2 linked regions of the Caenorhabditis elegans genome follow. The protein of the gene in region 1 purifies or fractionates together with the protein of each later gene. This does not show direct contact. Each region holds a gene or a part of one and is shown in the gene's direction. Other genes may lie near its edges.

Region 1 (4,264 bases):
TTACTCAGACGCGAAATTTTGTTATTTTTGTGACCCCAAAAGTACGGTACCTGGTCTCGACACGACAAAATTTTGTTAACTGCAAAAAGGTGTGCGCCTTTAAAGAGTACTGTAATTTTAAGTTATCTTTGCTTCGGAATTTTTGATATTTTTTAATAAAAATTTTTTAACTGGCGCAAATCGACAAAAACCATGAATTTTAACAGAAAAAAAAACGAAAAACTGCAATTACAGTACTCTTTAAAGGGACACGCATGTAATAAAAATTTGGCATGTCGAGAACGGGCACCTTATTTTTGGCGAAAAGTTTATCGAAAGAGGCTATTGCATAAAAACTTTGCGCGTCAACTATTTTGCCCTGTCCGCAATTCTGAATGAGACGGTGTTTGCACATCTCTGAACAAAGACCACAATCTGACTCTTTTTGCCAACTGATTTTCGCCCTTTGCAGGTTCCGAGTGTGCTATCGGTCGTCAAATCGTCATCATATACAGTTGTCTGAAGTATCTCAAATCATTTACACACATTTTCCACATCTTCCTGTGATATTCTACTCAAGAATCGCTTTTTTCAACGGGTTTAGTCCCTTTCTAAACTTCCCTTTGATATTTGCCTCAAAAATCGCCCATCTTTCATGTAAAATTTATGTGTTATTTTTATTTCAATATTTTAGTTTCAGTTCTATTCGTATTTATTCATTTTTCTTATAATTTTATGCATAAATTCTCAAAATTTATTGATTTTTCTTGTCTTGTGCTGACTCGGTTCTTTTCCAATTATTATATGTACATCTTAAGAATAATCACGAAATCCTGTGAAAATAATTAAATCATTTTCAGTACCGAAAACCTTAAAATGGCCTCACAAACCCAGGGAATTCAGCAACTTTTGGCCGCTGAGAAACGTGCCGCTGAGAAGATCAACGAAGCTCGTAAGAGAAAGTTGCAGAGAACGAAGCAGGCCAAGCAAGAGGCTCAAGCTGAGGTGGAGAAGTACAAGCAGGTAATAAATATTGATTTTAATTTAAATTTTAAAAAACTAATTATTCAGCAACGCGAGGCAGAGTTCAAGGCATTTGAACAACAATACTTGGGAACCAAAGAAGATATTGAGAGCAAGATTCGTCGTGATACTGAGGATCAAATCAGTGGAATGAAGCAATCTGTGGCTGGAAACAAGCAAGCTGTGAGTTTGAACAAATTTCCACACAACTTTGGGAAATCTTTTGCACTTTGCAAAATATTTACTGGAGAACTTTCAAAAAAAATTTCTCGAATTTAAATAAAATGTTCTAAAATAATTTTATTGAATTTCTATATTTGTCACCAAATTAAAATATAGTTATTGTAAAACGGCACATACACATTTTTGGCTCACACTCTCGAAAGTTGCATAATATCTCAATAAAATCCGTTAATTTCAGGTCATTGTCCGTCTCCTTCAACTCGTTTGCGACATCAAGCCAGAGCTCCATCATAACTTGACTCTCCAGAAGAAACTTCACGGACAGTTCGCTGCCTAAACTTTTCGTTTTCTTTAATCTCTGACAATTCTGATCATTCCAACTTTCGCTAAGTCCCGCCCCTTACTTTTATGATGTGATATCCCTCTCCCATCAATTTCTAACCAATTCTGTAGAATTCTCCATTTTCAATTAAAAAATTATAGTCGTCACTTTTTTTTCTGTGACGACGTATTGTATACTATTTACAAAGAAAAAGCTTATACGTCAAAGTATTTCGTCGAATAAAGGTTTTATAGAGCTGATTATAAACTGGAAATTATTCTTTCTCTACGAATTAATCAATAAACGTATTCAGAAGAGGTTTTTCGCAAGTGTGAAACGCTATGTTCAAAAACTGCAGATTTTACCATACTTGCGCTTTTTTATAATTCCGAGATTAATTTTTGGAAAAAATAGCAAAATTTAAGCAGTTTATGTTTAAAAAAGTTCGTTTTTAAATACGCTCAAATAAAAAAAGTAAGTTTTAATTTTAAGTTTCAAAGGGTTGAGTCTCGCCGCGAGAATTGAGTTCTTGAAAAATAATTGGTGCATGCGCCTTTAAGTTTACTGATTACATTGCAAGTCTGCATTTGCGCGTCGAGTTGTGTGTTTTTACGTACATTCGAAATAGTTATATTTATTTATTGCGCAATTGCATTAATGTTTTTCTATACCGAATTTTCATTGCTTTCTTGCAAAATACATGTATTTTCTTAAGAAATTTGTGAATATTTTAAATTATACATAATTGTTTGACCTTTCAGGAAAAATGATTGAAATCACAGTAAACGATCGACTCGGAAAAAAAGTACGAATCAAGTGCAATCCATCAGATACAATTGGAGATTTGAAGAAGTTGATCGCTGCACAAACTGGAACACGGTGAGATTTGAAAATTACCTTTTTGAATTTGATAATCTTTTTGAAATTGACTGATGATCCCACAATCTTTTTTTCTGAATTCTTAAACTTGAAAATCAATTATATTGAAAAAAAAAGAATTTAGCTTTTTTATAGACTTTAGAAGTTAGAAGTTAAAACGTTTGAAAGGAAAAAAAGAACTTAAAAACTAAAAAAAATCAAAAATGGCACAAAAAGTCGTTATTAAAATGATCTCGAGCTAGGAAATCGCGTTTTAAAATACAATTTTTCTGTGTTTTGCCATCTCATGCGGCTATTCGCATATGTTATTTTCGTATGTTTTATATATTAGAAACAAATTGAAAATTTGAAAAACGGCAATTTGCCGATTTGCCCAAAGTTTTCCAAGATATTTTACATGAGAAAAAACATTAATAACATTTTCATAGATTTTACTTGCATGTCAAAATAGTTCTAGGACATTAAAATAGTGCATTTAATTTTGCAGAATTTATAATAAAAATTTAAAAATTTACAACAATTGCAAAACGAAAAATTTCCGACTTTGCAAAAAAAAACTTGCCTCCCAGCCCTGTGTTTTATTAAATAATTGATTTTTTTGTAATTTGATCATAAATTTCGACCGCCATTCTTGGTGATGAAATATACATTTTTTATTGTTTAATAAAAAAAAATCAATTAAATTTCAGATGGGAAAAGATCGTGTTGAAAAAGTGGTACACCATTTACAAGGATCATATCACATTGATGGATTACGAGATTCACGAGGGATTCAATTTCGAGCTCTACTACCAATGATTCATCAGAATTCATTTCATTTTTTAAACAATTATTTACTTTTCAACTTTTCATGAATTTCAATTTAATTTTTTTTGACTTCGAATAAATTTCAACACTTTCTTGATTTAAATGCACTTTTAAAAACATCTTATATTCATTCTTCCACCCCATTAATTTCTGCCGTCTTGTTTGACCACTCCCTCTTTCTTCGCTCCCACCCGAGTAGGCTCCGCCCATTTGTTCGACCCAAAAGATTTTGTCCGATTTTTTCTCTTTTTCTCTCTAATTCTCTTCGCCTATCAATGTGTTTGCGCGAAACAGTTTAGTGTGGATAGAGAAAAATCAGTGGATAGTTAATTTTTGCAGATGTTTTTTTTTTGAATTTTCAAAAATATTACTTCTAAAAGACATTTCAGACCAAGGGCAATGGCTGCTGCAGCTCTGTGCTGTGCTTCAAGGGTACGTTTTTAAATTGAAAAGTTTGAATCCCGAAAGCTTAAAATGAAATATTTATAGAATACAAAAATAAAACAACTTTTGAAAATTAATAAAAAAATATCTCAAAAGTTAAAAAAAAAGTTTCTCTAAATAGAAATATTCAAACATATGGTATCAATAAGCAGTCGTATTGACCTCGTTTCACAATAAAAATCTGGATTATCCGTTCGTTTTTTTGGTCACCACAGCTTTTGAATTAAATAGCTATTTTTTAAAGTTTTGTTTAAAATAAAAACTTTAATTGAAAATTCAGAAATAATCTCAATTGTATAACTGTATTCTATTTCCAGTTTATAAAACCTAATAAAAACCAATGTTAATCACTTTTGAAAACATTTCCTTTTAGTTCTTTTCTCTCTCTTGTCATTCCCTTGTATTTACTTCAACAGTAGTAAAATAAGAAGGACATAAGCTCTCTTCGGAGGGCTCATCATCTTTTCTTTTCCATTTTCTTTTTTATTTATCTATGTGTCCCTTCGGAGCGCGTAAAAACAGTACGGGCGGCCCGTTTACCTTTTCTCTGCGTCTCTTCGTCTCCAGTACTATTTCGTTTTGGATGGCTTCCAAATAGTGGACACCCTACCTCCCAACGGAAGAGGC
Region 2 (3,982 bases), 1.7 Mb from region 1:
TCCGTTTAGCTTCTTTAATTTATTTTATTGTTTTTCGGCAAAGTGGTTCCCTTCAGCTCTTTATTCATTGATTTTAAGTTTTAGATGGTGTTCCAACCAATCCACGAGGAAGAGCAAGTTTTCGTCGACTACGCCATTGAGTTGGTTAAAAAAGCTGGAACGGTGAGTTGAATTCGGATTAAAAAATCAAACTGTTTCCTAAAACAACAACGTCGTTATTATCTTTGTCTTATTTTTGTTAATTTTACAAATATGCACATTTAAATCAAATGCGTAACTCGAAAAACAACATTCTCTATTCCTCAGTTACGAAACAAATTTTATTATTTGAAAAAACATCAATATTCGAAAAAAACATTTTCAGCTCGTCCGTACCGCGTTTGACTCCCCGGAAAGCAAGGTTGACACAAAATCATCGAATACTGATTTGGTGACTGAAACTGACCAAGCTGTTGAAAAGCTTCTCATCGAAGGGCTCTCCGAGAGATTCAAAGGACATAGGTAAGAGCAAGGAATTCCCACGGTCCGCTCGATTTCACTCATTGTCTCCATGACAACCAGTTGGACTTTCTTTTTCAATCGAGTATTTACATAAATTTACTATTTTGATTCAGATTCATTGGCGAGGAATCTGTAGCCGGAGGTGCGAAAATTGAATGGACTGATGCACCAACATGGATTATTGATCCGATTGATGGAACTACTAACTTTGTTCATAGGTAAGATTTTTTTTAAATCGGACTCTTCAAATAATGGCAAATCGCGTTATTTAATTTCTAATTTGGACTCAAATTTTTCTCGAAAAACAAATTCTTATGTTATTATAGAATCCCTATGATCGCAATCTGCGTTGGACTTGCAATCAAAAAACAAATTCGTGCTGGAATCGTATACAATCCAATCACTAATGAACTTTATCTCGCTCAACTCGGAAAGGGAGCTTTCAAAAATGGATTTCCAATCCGAGCATCAAAGAATCAATGTAAGTAATTGCACTTTTCTTGTCATGCACCCTGCTTTTTGAAGTGCTTTCAAAGGGAGTTCTCTGTCAATCTCTCGGTCTGCATAATCGTGTTCAGTTCGGCGATCGCTGGCTCGACATTGCCCAGTCAAACATGCGAAATCAAGTGATGGCTGGTGTGCGAGGGTTTGTTTTAATTTTTTGGTCTAAAATTGATTACTTTTTTACAAAAAATATACCTCCACACTTCCCGCGCTGGTTTTGCACGTTTTACTTTCAATTTTATTTACATTCACATAGAAACGTTGCAAATTCCAGTCATTGCGGAAAGTGTGCTCATACTTCAACTTGGCTCAATTCGATCTCCTGTTATGCAGAAATCATTTGTTGATTCTTACAAGACTGTTATGTTCGACAAACAATGTCACGGGTACTTATAAATATTTTTTATATTCTTGTCGAAATCTAGTGACTTTCTTGAACTGTGCGTTTGCAAATTTTTTGAAAGTTTTACTAAAATTGAGAAATGGATAAGATGGAAAAGTTAGATGTTGGATGGACAAAGTTTAATATGAAAAAAATCACGAGGATGATGTGATATTATTATTTTTAATATTGTTATACATAATAAAAGTTATTTGAAAAAAATCCAAGTTTTTTTTTCAGACACCGTTCGTTTGGCTCCGCCGCGATCAACATGGTGATGGTTGCACAAGGAAGTTGCGATGGATATGTTGAATACGGGATTCACGCTTGGGATGTTGCTGCTCCTTCTATCATTGTCACAGAAGCCGGAGGTGTTGTCACTGATCCAACTGGATCCCCATTTGACGTCATGTCAAGAAAAGTTCTCTGCGCTGGAACAGCTGAACTCGGACGCGATTTATCTGCATGCCTCACTCATGTCGATTTCGAGCCGGAAGCCTAAATATATATTTAACTATTTATTTTCAAAACTCACATATTGTGACATAACATTCCTACCATAACATGCATTATCTGTATTTCCAATTTAATATTAGTTTTTTGATTTTATTTTCTAGTCGTATGTATTCTCGTTTTATGAGAATAAATTATTTAAAGATGTTTATATCTTAATTTCTGATACTTCAATTGCCGTTTGAGCGCACTTGATTTATTTATACTGTCTCTTTTTTAATAATTAAACTCAATATTCAGCTCTCACAAGCTCAACATCATGGCTTTGGCAGAGGAGGACGTTCACATGATCATCAAGCAGGTACCGATATTTTATATGTCTACTGTATTAATTCTTTGAAAAACTATAATTTTTGAGTTGATTATTGTTTATTCACATTCTCGTAATCCAATAATCTTTCAGGTACTCGACGAGGTTGTAGGCGCAAGCACCCAGTATACCCACAAGGACAGTGTTCAGTGGAATCAGAAGGCCGTCGAACAAATAACGAAGAAGCTAGTGGCAGCGGGAAAACCATACAAATATGTGGTTACCTCGTCGTTCCTTCAGATCTCGAGCGGTTCCGGTCTCAATGTTAGCACGATTTCCTACTGGAATAAAGTCACGGATTGTGAGTTAACATTTTGTATTAAAACATTAAATAATAAAGAGGGAAATAAATTTATTACTCACAAAGTTCTGATTTTGAAAGTTGGTATTCAACTTATAGCTCAAAAAATCTCATTTTCAGCCTCGTACATGTACCGTTGGGAAGCCAAAACAATGCTTGCAATCGTCTATGTTTTTGCAATTGCAATTTAACAATCCACAGCTTCATCTTATATGTCTACTCTGGTTTTCCTCGTTTACCGCCAATTCTCCCCTTATTTCTGATTGTTTTTTTCTTCCCCATTCATCACACACTATCATGTTTTATATTCAGACCTATTACCTGTCCAGAAAAACTGAGCTGAAAAAATCCGGACGAGCAGCTCCTTCACATTCAAAATCTTCCATCATTTCCCCCACTCAATTCATTTGTTTTGTCTTTGATTTTCAAATTTTTTGCCTTATTATTTTATTGCTAAATTAATGAAAACTGTTACTCCTCATTTTGACCGTCGCACTCATTGAAGGTAGTTCGAGATTAGATGTTCAGATAACTTGCGGGACGCGTTAGGACACAAAACAAGTGCGTCAGATCAGCCAAAATGCTTCCACGAATAATTCCATCGGTTCTGTCTGTGGTATTACTTTTTTCGTTTTTATTTTTTGTAACGGCAGTCTTACTTCAATTTATGTAAGTATTGATAGTTAAAAATTATCACCGTTCAAAAATGATTGAAACGATAAATTTCCAGTCGAATCGATTCACCAGATCTTGAAAATGAAGAAGTATTTCATTCGGCACCTTATGATATATTCATTTATTCTGCATTTTATTATAATAAATCAAAAAGTCTCGGAGATTCTTCAATGGTTATTCTGATGACTGCTGATTTTGAAGTTTTGGAAAAAGTTAAAAATCTTGAACTTTTGGGCATAAATGACACGAGTCGAGCTATGACATCTGCTGAATTGGAAAGGTTTGTGTATTTAATTTCTTATTTTTGTGTTGATTCGAAGTTTTTGAGCTTTTCGGCACCAATTAAATAAGATTTGAAAATTCAATGAAAAAATTCAAAAAAAAAACCAAGAAAGGGGCGGAGCTTATTCTGAAATTTTGCAGGATCGGTAATCAACTATTTCCTATGATTAAACCGTTCAAAACTAAAGGCAGAATAATCTAATACCTTGGTTTTTTTTGAAATTTTTGCATAAAAGTTCCATGTACCTAATAGATGTTTTTCAAACCTGGAAACAATTCTGGCTATTTCTGAAAAATACATAAAACAATACAAAGTAGATGGTAAATCGAGAAAATGGAAGAGTGGCCGAGAAAATATGCGAATCTCGGTCATCTACCATCTGCAGATGCATCTGTCGATTTAAGAAAAATTATAAGGCCGTCAGATATCCGAGATTTTTATACAACTCACCAACTTCCTTGTTTGATTCTCCTCCAAAATGAGAACTACAAGACAAATCAGACGGATCTCAAA

Evidence for each region. The genes of interacting proteins can lie anywhere in the genome.
Region 2: the proteins of ubl-5 (region 1) and dylt-1 fractionate together in Caenorhabditis elegans (co-fractionation; one large-scale study listed by BioGRID). This does not show direct contact.

The regions. Positions count from the first base shown.
Region 1 is NC_003279.8:5,606,846-5,611,109, reverse strand, and holds ubl-5 (Ubiquitin-like protein 5), read left to right. Parts: upstream 1-2,268; 5' UTR 2,269-2,273; coding exon 2,274-2,386; intron 2,387-3,075; coding exon 3,076-3,184; 3' UTR 3,185-3,284; downstream 3,285-4,264. Other genes in the region: trpp-8 (Trafficking protein particle complex subunit 8), read left to right, coding at 452-502; vha-10 (putative V-type proton ATPase subunit G), read left to right, coding at 856-1,002, 1,051-1,185, 1,424-1,522; tns-1 (Tensin homolog), read left to right, coding at 3,593-3,625.
Region 2 is NC_003279.8:7,299,072-7,303,053, reverse strand, and holds dylt-1 (DYnein Light chain (Tctex type)), read left to right. Parts: upstream 1-2,140; 5' UTR 2,141-2,159; coding exon 2,160-2,201; intron 2,202-2,303; coding exon 2,304-2,511; intron 2,512-2,631; coding exon 2,632-2,702; 3' UTR 2,703-2,989; downstream 2,990-3,982. Other genes in the region: Inositol monophosphatase ttx-7, read left to right, coding at 85-162, 365-501, 615-719, 828-982, 1,027-1,147, 1,628-1,889; BAH-4 (Glycosyltransferase family 92 protein F13G3.3), read left to right, coding at 3,092-3,180, 3,242-3,466.